Ovis aries: one gene and its partners. The protein of the gene in region 2 purifies or fractionates together with the protein of the main gene of each other region. This does not show direct contact. Links are inferred from orthologs where the notes say so. Each region holds a gene or a part of one and is shown on either strand. Other genes may lie near its edges.

Region 1 (5,594 bases), on a different chromosome or scaffold from region 2:
TCCAGGGTGCCACATCCATCCCCATGAAGTCTAGGAAGAGGGTGTCTTTTCCCTCTTCCTTAGGGACATAATTCTGTTCATCCGGCTCTGGATGTCTCTCTTCGCATCCCCTGAAAAGCAGACTAATTCCAACCCACTACTATCTGTCTGGTATCTATCTATATTTAATGGTGTTATCCTCAGGGAGAAAAGTGCTTCTTCCCTTGTCATGGACTCCTCCAGTCCTTGGATTGCTTGAGATTATCTTCCATAAAAAGGAGTTTTTCCAACTCCTATTGGTCCTAATAGTTTGTTGTTATTGTTGTTTATGGGGCCATTCTATATAGTCTTCAGGGGCAGACAGCCTCCCCCAACACCAGAGATGTTTGTCCTCCTAGAATCCAGAATAGACTTTCCCAAGCCCCATCCCTGGAAACCCAAATGGACGAATCCATTGAACCTGGAAGATGGGCTCTTCTGCCCCGTCCCCATCTCCCCCAGGGGATCTTCCCGGACCCGTGACACTCCTAAGGCTCAATCCAAGCATACTAGATTTCTGATATTGGAAAAGCCTGACTGGGGACTTAGTTCCTCTAGGTGCTAGAATGGACTCTTCCAGTTCCCTTTGCCTCAAATTTCTCAATAGCCCGGGGCGTTGGGGTTTCTGAGGTTTTGCCTTCCCCAAATACAGTCTAACGAGAACGTCTCAAGCGGTGTTGGTTGGGCCAAACAAAGCGGGCTCACCGACCGCTTTCCTTATGCAACGTTCTTCATTCATTACCGGGTCCCCTTCTTGTTCAGGAAGAACTCAAAGTCTGGTGGAAAGACTCGCAATTTGTACTTGATATCTATTTAATGGTGTTACAGTTGCAACAACAAAGCCATTGTATATGAGAAAGTAGTTAAATGTTAGAATATAGTTTAATCCTCCCGAGCTCTGTGACCTTGGGCATGTCATTCAACCTCTCTGGACGTCAGTTTTAACCTCTGCTTAATGGGAGTAGACTCGAATTACTGTTTCTTCAGCTCTGGGATACTAGGCTTCCGGGCAAGTTAGATCCCAACATCTCGGCGGCTAGAGAAGAGAAAGGAAGAAGGGAGGGGGAGGAGGTAGGGACGGCTCCCAGGAAGAAGATTTAAGGAGTCCGGAGGTGGCGGAGAGGAGGGGAAAAAAAAAAAAAAGGGAACAGAAAGACGCTTGCGCAGTAAGCACCTCACGCTCTCCCGCCCCTCCCAACTCCTTCTCTGCAGCAGGGAATTGCAGGAGCCGCTCCACCTATCCCAGCCCAGGCGAGTAACGACCCCCCTTTCTCCTTCCTTCTCTACGGATCGTAGCCCTCCTCCTTTGCCCCAGACACCGGCCCAATCGAAGGCGGGCGTAGGACTGGCTCGGCGAATCCGCGACGCCCGCGGGGGCGATCTACCCGCCCATTGGCCTCAGTAAACGTGAGTCCCGCCTCTGCAAGTCCACGCCCCCTCCGTCCTTCGCGTCCGTCCCTCCCTCCTGGGAGAGCCCCCGGATCCAATCGGTCCCTCACCCGGCCGAGCGGAGGGGGCGGTTCCACTGTACGTCACGAACTCCGCCCGTCGCTCAGGCAACGCCCCCACCCCCTCCACTCGCGAGCGGAAATAGCGGGGCGCTGGACCAATCGGAGCCGCACGCCTTTGTCCAGCGACCAATGAGACAGGCGGAGGGGCCGAGCCTGTGTCTGAGCGCCAGTAATTGCAGCCTATAGGCGGCCCCGAGAGCGCAGGCTGGCGGAGGCGAGGGGAGGGGCCTGGGGCGGAGCCGCGGCCTGCCCGCCCGCCCGCCCGCCAGCCCGCCCTCCCCGCCCGCCCGCCCCCCGCCCCGGCCGGCTCGGCTTCTCAGCGCTGCCTGGGGTCCTTTCCTCCCGGTTCCCCCCCGCCTGCCAGCCCCCGCCGTGCGGTGCCCTGCCCGGCCAGGCCTGGAGCCGACGCCACCGCCATCATGCCGGCCGTGTCCAAGGGCGATGGGATGCGGGGGCTCGCCGTGTTCATCTCCGACATCCGGAACTGTGAGAGCGCGGTCGGGGGAGATCGGGCAAAGGGGAGAGCGTGAAATTGAAGGGTTCGGGGGGGCGTTACAGAGGGGCCCAAGGATTAGAAATCCATTGCGGCCCTAGAGTGAGAGGCGAGAGAGGCCACCGGAGGGGGGAACTTAAGGGTGGGTTCGGGGGAATGGAGGGGGTTAGGGTGTCATAGTGTGCTTCTCGAGGTGACAACGCGGAGTGGTTAGAGGCATCGCGGAGGGTCTTAATAGAGGAGACTAGTAAAGTCCCGGGAACAGGGCATAGAGGTGTCCCCTGGGAGTGGAAGGAACGCTGGGGGATCATATTAGCGGTAGGGTTAGAGAGATCCCTGTTGTAGATAAAAAAGGAAGAAGGTGCATGGGTGGGAGGGTGGGTGGGGGTACCCTGTGGAGAGGTAGAATAGGAGGAGGCCAGAGAGAACTGGGAGGACGCGAAACACAGGAAACCTAAAAGGAATCGGGCTTGAGGGCCTGGGCGAGGGGGTGTCATAGAGGCCAAGGGGCTAGACAGGTCATGGAGGCGCTCAGCTGGTTCATAGAGAGGACTTGAGAATGATAGAAAGTCCCAGGGATTTGGGGAGGAGAGATGGGAACAAGGGAGACTCTCTGGGACCTTGGTGAGGCACAGAGGGGCTCCTGGATGGAGGATTGCTTAGGAGATGTGGCGGGCAGTGAAGAAGGGGCTAGAGGGGTTACTGAGGGGAGCACGGAGAAGCGCTGCAGATGGAGAGTCTTGGGAGAACCTGAAACAGGGAGCTGGGGGGCCTGGAAAGGAGAGGTCATTATCATGTGGGGACTTGGGGGAAGTGCCAGAAGGGAGAGAGCTCAGATCTCAAAGAAGGGGCCTGGGGGGCCTTAGACATCCATGGGGAAGAGATCTGGAAAGCTGGTGGGCATGGGGGGAAGCCTGGTTCCAGAGGGGTCATGGGTCGGGGAGCAGGACAGCCCTGAATCTGGAGCCCTCTCCCCTCTGACCACATCAACATGGGGACAGCCCTCACCAGCAGGAAGAATGGTCGTGACTATGGGAGGCCTGGCGCCAAGTCAGCTCCCAGCTCTTGGGAGCGGGTGTTGGTGTTTGGAGCTGCCAAGAGCTTCAGAAGCTGTATCCGCACAGGCTCCGGGGTCAGCCAGGCTTCGGTTTGAGTTTGACTGCTCCCATCCCCTTGCCTTGTGACCTTGAATGAGGGACTTCACCTCTCGGTTTCCTCATCTGTCAGGAGGGACTGCTGATGGCATCTTCCTGATGGGGTTGTGATGATAACCGAATGTGAGTGAGGCGTTTCACACATTCCAGGCACAAGGTGTCTTGGCTCCTGTTTTTGTAACTTGGCCGAATCTGAGGAGCGGCCTCTGCAAGTGCCCAGTGATGATTTTAGAATTTAGCAGGTATGGGATGATCTGGCACATAGTAGGTGCTCAGTGAGCAAGAAGGGTGGAAACTTGGGTACCAAGTGGCAGAGGGAGGTTATGTTTGTTAGGAAAGGGGTGGAGCATTGAGGGGTTGTGGGTTGTGGTGGAGGGCAGGTGTTAGAAGAAGGTGTGCACTGCCTCTGACACCTACCTTGTGACCCTTGGCAAGTCATTCAACCTCTTGAAGGCTCCATTTTCTTGTCAGCTGACTCCATTGACCAGAACATCTTGCCTCTGAAGGTTCATTCATTCGTTCTCACTTGACAAATGCGTTTTGATCAATCCAGTGTGCCAGACACTTCTAGGGACGAGGGCTACCACAGTGAACAGAAATCCCTGCCCCTTGGAGCACTCGTGCCAGGAGGGAGATTAAATTATAAACACAGAGAACTACAGATGATGACTAGTGCTGTGAAGAAAAATAAGGACAGGAAGAGGGGGAAGGGAACAGGATTGAGAAGGGGCAAGTGGTACAGATTTTGGAGGCAAGAGGGGTCCAGGCAGCGGAATGGTGTGTTCAAAGGTCCTGAGGTTGTAGCACACTTGGTGAGGATTCAGATAAGAGCGAGGGGGCTTGTGGGCTTGTGTGGTTGGAGCCAAGCAAGGGAGGGTGGGAGAGGTGGGAGATTTGGGCAGAGAAGAGACAGGGAGCAGGTAGGGCTTTGTGGGCCATGGGGAGCACCTTGGCCTTTCTCTGAAGCGAGAGTGGCAGGAAGGTTTTGAGCATGGGAGGGATGGGACCTAACTGATGTTTTAAAATAGTTCCTCTGGCTGCTGGATAGAGAGTAGACCCAAGGAGGTAGGAATGGAAGCAGGGAAAGAATTAGGGGGCTGTTGCAGGCATCCCCGCGCGAGATGGTGATTTACTCGACTGGGGTGGGAAGGAATCCCTGAGAAGTGTTTGGGTTAGAGATAGATCTTGGAGGATCTCCAAAGGGATTGGATGGTGGGGGTGGGGAAGGAAAGAGAAAACAAGTGGGTGTCACTGCTGGACCCCAGAGGGAAGCCAGAGGATGGAGGAGATACTCTGACTTGGGGGCAGTGGAGGTCGTTTAGCTGAAAGAATCAGGACTGGAGGATCAGGGTGCCGCTTGTCCTTGGTTTTCTCATCGAGTGTATGTTTCATGGCTGGTATGTTTCAAACCTTATCGTGGGTGCTGGGAACACAGTGGTAGATAGGACAGACTTGTCTGTTCCCCCATGAACCTCCCGGCCCCAGAGGGAGACAGGAACTGCATAAAAATTGCAGCTGTCCATCTCCCAAACACTTGTATATGGATGTTCGTACAGCATCGTTGATGATCCATAGCCAGAGAGCACAAACAAACCCAGATGCCCACCAGCAGATGGATGGAAAAACACAGTGTGGACGCCCACACGATGGAATGTTATTCAGCCATCAAAAAGAATGAAAGACTGTGGAGGTCACAGCATGAGTGAACCTCGAAAACATCATTTTGAGGGAAAGAAGCCAGACATAAGAGGCTACATATTGTAGGATTCCATGATACGAAACGTGCAGAAGCAGCAAATCCAGAGAATCAGAAAGTGGTTGAGTGACTGCCTAGGGCGAGGGGTGGTGGAATGTGGAGTGACTTCTAATGAGAACAGGGTTTCTTTAGGGGGTAATGAGAATGTGCTGGAGTTAGATGGTGGTGGTAGATGGACAGTGCTTTGGATCTACTAAAGAAACCCTGATTGGCACTGCCGAGTGGTGAGCTGTGTGCTGTGTGAATCGTAGCTCCATTTTTCTTTGACTGAAGTACAGTTGATGTATAATATTGTGTTAGTTTCAGGGGTACAGCAAAGTGATTCGGTTATACATACATGTATTTTGTTCCCATAGTCTCTTCCACTGTGGTTGAATATAGTTCCCTGTGCTATACAGCAAATCCTCTTATTTCACGTATGCCACTGTTTGATGATACATTAAATTTATTTTCTTTATGTAGCATAAAGTCAGATCTAAATATATTACAGAGCATTCAGGGAGGTATATCTTGTTGCCCCCTCAGAAAGTCATGTGAAATTTACTTTCAGAATTGATGTCGACTTGTTTAAAAGCCCTATCTTGGCTCCTTTCCTATTCTCATCAAAAATTTTGTATTTTTTATTTGTTTGGCTGCACTGGGTCTTGGTTGCAGCATGGGGA
Region 2 (5,639 bases):
GCCCTCTCCTGGTACTTCCTTGAACAAGAAAATGGATGTAGGCTTATGAGGGAAGGCAGGTTCAGACGGAGACCTTGGAAAAGTGTTTATCAATTTTGCTGATATTAATTTCAGACAAAGTTTTGGCAAGGAAAGCCTTGGAGATTATTTTCAAGGTCCTCTGAAAGATCTTGACCTTATACTATGTGCAAGTTAAAATTCATATTCACCTCTCAGTCTATGCTGGAATTGTAAAACTACAACATAGTCAAATAATCTGACTTTCATACTTCTGGAGGCTAATCCTAAAATGAGTGAAATAATTCCACAGGGCAATGATCCTGCCCATCACCAAATCTATACATTCCAGAGTTATCTAGCACAGCCTGAGAATTTGTTCAAAACTTATGATGGAAAGATTTCCTATGGCTGTGTAATACCCCTAAGTACTAAGGACAGAATTTTGGTTTCAGTAAAACAATCCAGAAGTGTCTTTATTCTTGCTTTTTACCAAAAAGCAACAATTTATTCTAGTCAGCAAAGTCATTTTCATTAATGGAGCAATATATATATATATTTTTAATCAACCACAAAGTCTTTCAGAAGGTACTTCAGAATTAAAAGTTAAAAACTTGCACCTTCATACTAGAAAAAATTTGTTTTATAGTTTTGGTGATAAAAGGACAATCTGTAACAAAGGATAAAAACTAAGTCTAAGTTGAGTTCAGGACGTTAGTTAACATTAATATGTATAAATCACTATTTTATGCATATTAGATTAACAGTGATTATGTGGTCAACTATATAAACATGCAACTATATAATCTAAAACTCGCCAAATCTCTAGATTTATTATAATGTGACACTTATTCAAAGAAAGACGCTACAACACATTCCACACCTAGAACATGGATCACTGGCTAGGGAGAGGAGAAACTCTTGTTAAAGGACGTTTTCAATTCTGGCAAGTAGCAGTCTTCCAGCGTAAACTAAGGAATACATGAAAAACACCAAGGAGAATACATTCAAGTTAATGGAAACAAGTCTTTATTAAGTAACTTTTAATATCAGAAAAATAAAACTCTTATAATTCTCTTTACAGCAAATATATAATATCAGTGCTTTGGCCATCTTAAGTTAAAGGCCCTTTATCATAAAATATATGGTTTTAAACTTTACTCAAATTGAATTTATAATCCCTATGACTTCCCTACATATACATAACAAAAGAGTGTAGTAAAATTAGCAAATACTAAACTATATTGATAATTTATCATTCTTAGTTTGTGGTTTTTAGAAACAGTACACGCACCTAATATATGTCGATTCCTTGGCTTATTAGTTGCAGTGTACAATGCAACAAAATACAAAATACATGCTTGGTGAACATTCGTTTGTATCTACAAGACGGCAGCTAAAGATTAGGTTTCAATACTGACATTTAACTATTCTACAAGCAATTAGCATTACATCATAATATGCCATCAAGGCAATTTTTTATACTGAAAAAATCAAAATAAAAACCGTTATTTGTAAACTTTTATACGAAATGTAACTCTTCAAGTGGAAATAAAAAATAAAATTTGTCTATTTACTATTCAATACACATAGGATTTCAATTTTTGTTATACTGAGAAAAAAAGCTCTTTTTTGTTGGGAAAATAACGCTTCAAAAAATAATTAGTAGAAAAACCCACCAGTATAATGTTTTATCCATTCAATGCCAGCAGATTTGGGAACATACTGAGGATGAAAAGTCACAGACATCCACAGGTGAAATGTAAAAAGTGTATCTTAAAGAAATCTTTCCTTGTGATTGGAAACAAGTTTTGAAATGAAGTAAACTGATTGGAGGTCGTCACAGCTGCTTCTGTAAATATGCTAAGGGCATTGTTACCCCACTCTCCCTCCCCCTCCCCTAAATTACTAAAAAATAAAAATACATTTATAATGTGCAAGACAAATATGGATTGAACATAAAATGTTTCACATTTTGATCTATAGTCTAAAAATTAATCAATAGCTTGATCAGACTAATGAATGGAATGTTCGTATCCTCAATTATTAGCCAATGCAGGTGCACCCCAAAGCCTTTCCTGGAATGGAAAAACCCAGGTGGCCATTTCCACATTCACCGAGGGAGGCAATGGGTAGGAATTCACGATCGATACAACTGCATTCCTGCTCCACTGATCAGACCAGCCGGGAGCACTCTGGGCGAGATGAAGGTCAATGTAGCAGTTTTTGTCCCAAATTATAACCAGTGATAGAGTAAACTGCCATCAGCCCTATTATTACCAATAAGTAACCACAATGCATTAAAAAGTTACTTGCAATCCTGCAGAATTAGGCATAAGTTGTTGTAAAATAAAAAACAAACGGACCTGTTTTGTCAAAACTGGCAGTGTAAAGAAGGCAGCCCTGGAAGTGTCTGAGTCATCTGTAATGCCGCGTACCCTCCATAAACTCTTAATGTGGTTAGGCTTTGGGACCCATCATTTGGAAATCTTAGACGTATACACTTTTCTCATAGGTTCACATAACCTATGATTATCTTCACTCAGCCGAGTTGAACATCAGCTTTAGCAATTCTTACACAAGCTATGTCTCTGGGTCTACAGGATAAGATTAATAATTCAAACCAAACTAAGACAAGAGACCACTTAGGTTTAGTGTTACCATAGCAGCCTTTTATAAGTTTACTAACAACTTTAGCCTAATCCCAATAAAGCCTGATAACAGTCATAAGAATTCATTAGGAAGTTTACTGGGGGTACCATTATACCCATGCCTTTACGAGTCCATATAGAGATATAGTATTTATGTATATATATATAGTTAAGAGTGAATTTGGATTGCCTGAGTAACAGCTGTCTGGCAAACTGGACATGATGGCGTTCTCTTTTCACAGATCTTGTTGGCACATTCCATGCAGAAGAGGTTGTGGCCACATGGAACTAGGGCAGCAATAACTTCATTCTCAAAGCAAATCACACAGTCGTGCTTTCGTCTTGATTCTGGAGGTGAGCTAGAGGTGGAACCACCGTTGGAAGAGGAGTAACTATTGGTACCATTAGAAAAAGCAGGGATGTATATTGGAAGGCCAGCATGGTTGCCTGTACTAGGTGGGTCGCTCCTAACCCTCCGAGCAAGTGGGTGTTCAATGCTCTCAGGAAAGGTAGGAGACAGACGAGGAGTAGATGGCTGACTTCCTCTACGCTGAGTCTTCATGTTACCAGGAGGATCACTCCCAAAGCCAGAGAGTGGGTTAACTGGTTCAAACGGAGTCCAGATAGTTTGAGCGGATGTTGGTAGAGAGTCAAAGGCAGGAGAATCAACCGCAAGGTCTTCTGAGCCTACAGAAGGTAGTGTATCTCCAAACCAAAAGTTTCCTGTGCTAAATGGGCTTGTTGGACTAAAGTCAGCCAGCCTATTGCTTCCAAAGTAGGAATCTGTGGAACCGCTTCCCAGGGAACTGGAACTATCATTTCGATAATTGGAGATCATTCTGGCGCGGCTAGGAGGAACGGGATTGGAGGAGAGCCACGCAGAGCCCAGAGTGCCACCTTCAAAGCTGACATCGGTACCGTTGTAATGGAAGTCATTCTCTTCGTTGAGCTCAATGTAGTTTCCTGTGCGCATGGCAATATGCATCTCAATCTCTTCTCGGGCTCGGTCAACATTCTCGGGCATCCCTGTCACTTCAAAGACGGGCTCCTTGTCCCTGCTCGGAGTCACTATGTACGTGTGGGTCTGCTGCTGGATTCTTTTAATGGTTGCTCCTTTGGGTCCGACCACCAGCCCTACGACACGATAGGGCACTCGGACTTGAACGGTGGTCTGACCCGGCAGATTAGGGCTGCAGGACAGCCCGCCCAGGGCAGGGCCATTTTTGTTTCGAGATGCACGAATCATGGAGAAGTGCTCTGCAGCTGACAGGATTTCTCGTTTGGCCATGGCAACATCTTCTTTCCGTCCAGTGACAACAAAAATGGGCTCTTCACCACGAACTGGTGTTTTGATATACGTGTTCGTCTTGGCTCTCAGCGCTTTAATTTTACAACCTGTTAGAAAGAAAATATTTTTTAAGTATCAACATCTACTTCAACAATATTGAAAAAGACAAATTACAGAAAGCTCCTTTCAGGATAACAGTCTGGTTTGGGGCAGTTTTTCCGTCCCTCTTTAAGTCTGAGCGTATTTCTTATCACTAAATGCTGATAAAGCTTTCCTAGTTCCACTATGACTCCTGGGTCCTGAGGGTACTTTCCTGTGACCTCTCATTCTCAGCAAAGAGGAGACGCCTCCACTGAAGGCCTTTAACTCAGAGGACAGGCTTATAGTTTTCCTCCTCTTGTTATTAGTCATTGCGAATGATGCATGAAATAGGCCAGCTACACTATGAGTGGATTTGACTTTCAGAACACTAATAGTTTACTACCTTGCAGGGTGTTGGTGGCAAAGAAAAAATATTAATGTACAATGTGAGACGATACCTATCATCTTATTTAATCTACATAACAACCCTAAGGATGAGACTGTTACACTCCTTTTATTGCTAAGGAAAATAAAGCGCAGAAATATTGTGTAACATGCCTGAGTTCACTCAGCAAGTAAGAGGCAGAGCCACCGTTAAACCTAGTCTGACTTCATAGTCTATAGTCTTTGTTATTGGTCCTAGAACCTCAAATTCCACAGAACTATACTGATGATAGAAGTTCTCCAACTGACTTCCACTTAACTGTCTCGTCATTTTACTTCAACATCATTCTCTCCTCTGTAAAACTCAATTGATGACAATAGCAAAGTGCTCAAAGTTAGCACATCATCTCATTTCTGTTCCATCAGTTGGATTTCAGGCTTAACTAAGAATGAGTTGTCTTTATCCCCATCTGTTTATGCTAACTGAACTCATGCATTAACTAAATTAATAATTACATAAAGCAGTGATATATAAATACAAGACATGGAATTTGTATCAAAATTGATTATTTTTAAAAATTTCAATAATGATGAGTACTTAAAGAAAAAAAAAGATGCTGTTGAACTATGGGTGAGACAACTGTAAAATCTTGGGGTAAAAAAACTGACCCAGAGTAATTCTGTGTTCATTGTGAAGTTCTTGCTAAATTCAAAAGAAACATATTGGAAATTGTATGGAGTATGGTCATTGGGTGTGGTTTTATTGAAGGACTATAATGGCTGGCAGTCCCATTCTCAAATAAAAGGCTTTGGTTCTAAATCCTAAGTATATTTAAGTTAAATAAATAAAATATCTGAGATACATATGTATAACTACCCAAAGATTACTTTTTGGAGTAATCAGCCATTACCAGTGCCAACTGTGTAACACTGGAGGGTTTCGAACAGTAACTTAAGATGCCAGATATACGCTAAGGCATAAGACTCTGGGGTTATGCTTTTCAAAGACCTTAATGTGAAGCTTGCCAGAACAGATTTCTTCTCGTGACTGTATCATGCTATTCCTAGTTTCTCAAAATAAAGCAGTTAGATGCTACTGAAAAACACACGCCACAACCTGAGCAGATGGTTTTCTTAAAACTTTTTTTTCCTGCCCTCAACAAATCCGTAATGTACAAAAGCTAATTCTTTCTGGACATCATTCCTAACTTGTGTGACTGCACTAGTACCCTCGACCC
Region 3 (5,832 bases), on a different chromosome or scaffold from region 2:
TCTGTCCCTCAAGTTCTGTATCTACACCTAAAACATAATCCTCAGTAACTAATATATTCAACACTGACTGATAACGCTGACTGTTTTGTTCCTTGAATACAACCTTGTTTCTGCACCAGAGACTTTGTACTTTCCTAAAACATTATTCCTCTAGGTCTGCCTTCCAATCATTATGACTCAACTTAAATGTCAACTAACCCTGACCCGTCCTGATCACCCTACCTAATATATCACCTTCAACTACAAATTGTCCGTCACATGAAATCGGTTTTATTTCCTCCACGGCTATTTATCACAACCTAAAATGATCAGTTGCTTATTTCTCCCTCCTTGAGTGAAAATTCCAAGGAGGATAGAGACCTTGTCTGTCTTGCTCACTGCTACATCTTCAGCACCTCAAACAATCCCTGGCACAAAGCAGGTACTGGATATCTACAGAACAGACGCCAAAACTTCTGCTACACATTAGGATTACCAAAATAAAAAAGATACAGTTCTTCATAAACTCCTGGTCTTTAGATTTATAAATATGTACCTCCTCCAATTCTATATTAAAGGATGACTAGCTCCTAACATTTTTAGTGGCTAACCTCTTCACCTGTCATGTTAATCTGTCCCTGAGATCTCCCTTAGACTTCCCCCCAAGGATTATCCCCTCTCTCACTTCTTTAATTTCTCCTCCTCCACTTACTGAACATTTCCCACCTACTCTCCCACACTCAAATAACCTTCCCTCAGCCCTACATCCCCCTATTACCCTAAAGTATCCCATGGACTCCTTAACCACACCTCTCTTACAAACACATCTTGACCACTTCCTCAAAAGTCACCAGTGGCCTGGATAGTATTCTCACTTTCTTCAACATTTAACCCTGCTGAGGACTTTCCAGTCCAACCAGAGGTGCTGCTGTGCCACAGTTCTCTTAATTTTTTAAAATCTTTTTTGACCTTACTTCACTGTCGTCCTTCTCTCACACTTTTAAACCTGATTTTCACTAGAACTTCATCTTCTATTCTTGCTCCATTCTGTCTCTGAAACATTTCACCTTTTCCTCTATCTCAACTAGTGCCCCATACCAATAATTACATCATTCATTCAGAACCTAAATTCCAGCTCCACTTTCCCCATTAGTATTTAATATGAAATGTGACTTAATTCTTCAGCAAATCCTCAATAAAGAGTAGTTGCCGGCAATGACTTAGAAAAAATAATGTGAACTAAAATAATGTTCTGAACAAGCACTGGAAGGCAATATCATACAACTTAAAGCTTGTTTCACGAGTACTTCTTGAAATATAGTACGTAAACTAATCCTTCACTAATTTTAACTGACAGCTTGTACAAAAATAAACCAAAGACTAAAAATCATTCATACACTTTATATATGTGGTTAATCTGTATTAATTTTGCCTAAAACTGTTTATACAGTTCTAAATACACAGAAACAGTATTACTGCACGAATACAGTAGTAGAAAGCTAAAACAGGGAACATGCCAGTCACAAATTATTGCATAAGTCTGGAAACAGCATATGAAATAAATTCAAATTCTTTAAAAGGGGTTTGTAAAGATACACCTACAGTGCCATAATTAAAAGACTCACAGCTCAAAATTACACCTAATTATTACAGCAAACTGTCCATTGAGGTTTTGTGCTATTTTCAAAAACATTAGCAAGAAACAGACTTGTGACATTGTGGCCTTTAATTTAGATAGCCAAGGGTAGTTAGTTATATACATTTATATCAGTATGATAAAACTAAAGTCCCCGTCCTATAAACAAGAATATAGACCAGAAGAAATGTTTACCTCTCTGCAGTGGACAGGAGCCACAGTCCACACTGGTCAACCACAAATACCTGACTCACAGCCTAGCCCCTCTCATATGAGAGAAAATGACATCTGGTTATTACCGAACAAACTGCACATTCAAAACCTACAGTGAACTCTCTAACTTGTTCAGCAAAAATCCTCCTATGCTTTCCTTATGTACTGCAAGAAGGTGTGAGGGGGGGAAAAAAGACGAAGCCAGCTCCCAATTATCACTGCCAAAGCCAAGCTGGTGAAACAAGTCAGTCACCATGCTTCAAGGTATGTGGCATGTAAAGGCATGGGCAGGAAAACAATAGCAGAGACTTAAGCAAAGAGACACCTACATTTTAAGAAAAAGAAAATGAAAGTGATTTCACATCTCCTCCACCAAGGGAGCTGTAGGTGCACCGAGTCTTGAAATTCTAGGAGCTGCTCAAACGTTCTAGTTGGTGGCAGTTGATCACTACACCAGCTGTCACCTTTTGGAGTTTTCCAGGTTTCCCCTTTTCCCCCACAAAACCCCCTCTAGTCTAAGGCAGAAAAGTAACTGAGGAAATAGAACAGAAGATGAAGGGAAATGGCCGATGGGACAACAGACCACGAGAGCTGCTGTAACCCTGTCTCCAGAGGACCCAAAGCTCTAGTTATCAAAGTACAGCTCTAGAAATCTGTATCAGACACCTTTCACATCCAGGGAAAACCTCCATCTGTATCCCTTTCGCATCTATCTCGTAAACTGAAATCCCCTGTCTTATCCTAAACTCATCCTATATATATGACATTATCCTTAACCGATACCATTGCTTCCCCTAGTGAAAGGCAGATTTTTTTTTTAAGGGAGGAGGAAAGGTGAGGATGGAATGTCCTGAGGGAATGGGGGGAGGGGAGGGGGTGAGAAATACGTGCAAATACCATTGCGGCAAAGACACTGGACACGCCAGTTCCCTCATCGCTCCTGCAAATTCTCTTCGTGCATGACCCTCCGCTCAGCCCTCCTCCTGCTTCAACAATACACAGACACGTGTCCTAACCGACCCGCACCATCACCTTTTCTAGCATCGCACGCTCCCCGTTTCCACCCTCCCTCGCCCCCCAACAAAGACAGTCACACACACTTAAAAGAGGAGAAACTGCTGCCACCGCACCCTCCTTTCTCAGTAAGTGCTTCTACCACTTAGCATCTAGTGCTGGCTGAAAGACAGCTCGATAAACACGTATGTAGACAGACACACACACTGTCACTGACACACACACACACACACACACACACACACACACACACACACACACGGGCGCACATGCAGCATGTGGCGCAAAGAAGGGCACCCGGAGACGCACCTGGAGGCCGGGTGTCCAGCGCTGCTGCCCCCCTGGTCCCTGTCACTGAGCGCAGCTGTGTAAATCCTCCGGTAGCGGTCGGCCAGGGCCCGGCCTGACAGGAGCAGCTGGTAGTGACCCCGGGAGTCCGGGGCCGGCAACCCCAGCCCCAGCCCCGCGGCCGCCAAGGAGCCCTCGGGAAGCGGCATGAACAGCGCCCCCGGCGCCGGGGAGGAAGAGATGGTAGCGGCCGGGAAGAATCCGTCTCCGCCGGGCCCCGAGGAGGCGGCGGCGGGAGAGGCGGTAGCTGCGCACATCATCCTCCTCGCCGCCGCCTCGTCCCCGCGGGCCGGGCAGGCAGACACGCGCGCGCACACACAGCCCTTTTCCAACGACGACGGCTCCGGCGGCGGCCTCTCGCTCCCGCAGCAGCTGAGACTACAAAGACAGCGACCTCCTCCTTCTCCTCCTTCTTCTCCTCCTCCCCCCCGCGCCGCCCTCGCCACTACTGGGGCCGCTCATCTAACCCCGCCACCCCGGGAGTGTTAGGAGGAGGCGGTGCCGCCGCTGCACCCGCCGCCGCCTCCGCTGCCACCGCCGGAGCCACCCGCAATGGGAAGCGGCCGGCCGCTCTGGGCATGCGCCACTCCTCGCGCACGCTCAGTCCCTCCGGCCCCCCGTTCCCGCCCCACCCCCTCTCCGCCGCCACTGCCTCCGCCTCCGGGCACTGGGTGTGGGACCGGGGTGGCGTGCGGGATCGGGAAAAAGTCCACTTCTCCGGGTTTTACTAGCGGCTTGAGGAAGAGTCAGGAAAGTGCTGGGGAAGCTGTCAGCTCCATCCAGGCGGCTTCAGGTACCTGGGTTCCATCCAGGTGGGAGAACTGGAATCTGAAAGAGAGAGCCGGTGCCCGCCGCGGGAGGATGATCGTTCTGTATTCCTGTTCCCTTTCCCCAAAGCGTGCGCTGCCAGCGGGAAGATTTACTGTGAATGTGCTAGTTGAACTCAGAATTCAAGGCAAAGGAGGCCAGCCGAATTAGAAGTACCTTTGGTGGTCTTCGTTTGGGGTTATTTGTCATTAGGATTTAAGTCTGTTAAAAATAGCTTTTACTTACCGAAGGCAGGTAGTAATTTGGTGTACCCTCTTTTTTTTTTTTTTCCTGTGAAATTATAGCTCCCAGGTAGGAGAGGATTCACAAGCCAAAGTCTTTCCCAAGTTCTTGTTCTTAACATTTATATCCGAGCTAAGACTTAATGCAGTAGTGCTTCTCTCAAATATTCTTTAACTCCACATTCACCCTAAGAGGAGGGGGCACTCATCTCTTGACAGTGGATACTTCATGACTCATCTTTCTCAGCCCACATTTACATCACTAAAGATAATTCTTGTATATTACCTGAAACTACAGTTGTGACAGACTGTGTAATTAAGCAAATGTCATATCTACCAAAGATCTTATCAGTGTTATCTATAAATGTAATATTTGCTGAGTCCCCTCTTCCCAGTTACTCTACTAACTTCTTCAAAGTAAATGCTCTAGAAATATATGTGCCGAAGTACCCTGATTCCTATTAAATTTTATCCTTTTGTTTTTTTATATAAATTTATTTAATTGGAGGCTAATTATTTTACAATATTGAATTGGTTTTGCCATACATTGACATGAATCCACCATGGGTGTACATGTGTTCCCCATCCTGAACCCCCCTCCCACCTCCCTCCCCATACCATCCCTCTGGGTCATCCCTGTGCACACATCCCCCCCCCACCCCCCACCCCCCCAGTCTCCCTCTCAACGGGAGACACAGGAGAAGCAGGGTCAATCCCTGGAACCCGAAAACCCCATGGAGAAGGAAATGGCAACCCACTCCATGGACATCCCATGGACAGAGCAGCCTGGTGGGCTACAGTCCAAAGGGTCACAAAGATTCGGATATGACTGAGCACATAAGCACACATATCTTTTATGTACTTACTGGCTCTTAAGCCTCTTTGAATGTTCTTTAGCAGGAAAAAAAAAATCAAGCCCTGTTTACTGTTTGGAGAAGTACAAACAAGTAGTGGAGAAATTAAAATAATTCTAGTTTTTATGGGGAGACAGTGCTGAAGGATTCCTTTTTATCTGGGGCTTTGAATAATAAATGGATATCATTTTGATTATAAAAAGATAAGTAGAAGTGGAATAATAAAGCCATGGGACAAAGGACAGGCAGGGGAAATCATAGTATTTTCCTCGTGTGTGTAGCTCTGTTGTACAGATTTTGTATTTATCTTGTTGCCTCAGCTATCTTATAAGCTCCTTCACGGCTTTTTGTTTATCTTGATGTCTTCCTCAGCACCTGGTCTAGAACCTTGCCTATGGTAGATATCCAGCAGTTATTTATCGGGTGAAATTTCCTGTGCTGATGCTCCACCATGGTTACCCACCTGTGTTAAACTGCCCGTCCCTGCTCCCTGCTCCCCTCTCCCATCCCCTCCTCCCATCCCCCAACCCCCCTACCAAGCCTGGGATGAGAGCCAAGACACGATAGAGGCAGCTAAATGCTGGTGGAGTGAAAGGCGGACTCCTAGCGGCTCTAAGGGCTAATACTGTTGTAAGAGCCAGAGAGATAGCCAAAAGGCTCTGGCACGGGAAAGTTTGGGTTCTGACTCTGCTATTTGTATGTTTTTGGACAAGTTTCATCCTCTAATGGGGCCTCCCTG

What was found.
Region 1: the proteins of MEX3C (region 2) and AP2A1 purify together in Homo sapiens (affinity purification with mass spectrometry; 3 studies listed by BioGRID, with this or other methods). This does not show direct contact. The link is inferred for Ovis aries from reciprocal best matches to the Homo sapiens genes MEX3C and AP2A1.
Region 3: the proteins of MEX3C (region 2) and MYCBP2 purify together in Homo sapiens (affinity purification with mass spectrometry; 3 studies listed by BioGRID and IntAct, with this or other methods). This does not show direct contact. The link is inferred for Ovis aries from reciprocal best matches to the Homo sapiens genes MEX3C and MYCBP2.

Annotation. Positions count from the first base shown.
Region 1 is NC_056067.1:55,869,578-55,875,171, forward strand, and holds the start of AP2A1 (AP-2 complex subunit alpha-1), read left to right. Parts: upstream 1-1,830; 5' UTR 1,831-1,948; coding exon 1,949-2,015; intron 2,016-5,594.
Region 2 is NC_056076.1:50,965,341-50,970,979, forward strand, and holds the end of MEX3C (RNA-binding E3 ubiquitin-protein ligase MEX3C), read right to left. Parts: intron 4,044-5,639; coding exon 2,818-4,043; 3' UTR 1,004-2,817; downstream 1-1,003. UniProt on the Homo sapiens protein: E3 ubiquitin ligase responsible for the post-transcriptional regulation of common HLA-A allotypes. Binds to the 3' UTR of HLA-A2 mRNA, and regulates its levels by promoting mRNA decay.
Region 3 is NC_056063.1:53,028,496-53,034,327, forward strand, and holds the start of MYCBP2 (E3 ubiquitin-protein ligase MYCBP2), read right to left. Parts: upstream 3,765-5,832; 5' UTR 3,451-3,764; coding exon 3,152-3,450; intron 1-3,151. UniProt on the Homo sapiens protein: Atypical E3 ubiquitin-protein ligase which specifically mediates ubiquitination of threonine and serine residues on target proteins, instead of ubiquitinating lysine residues.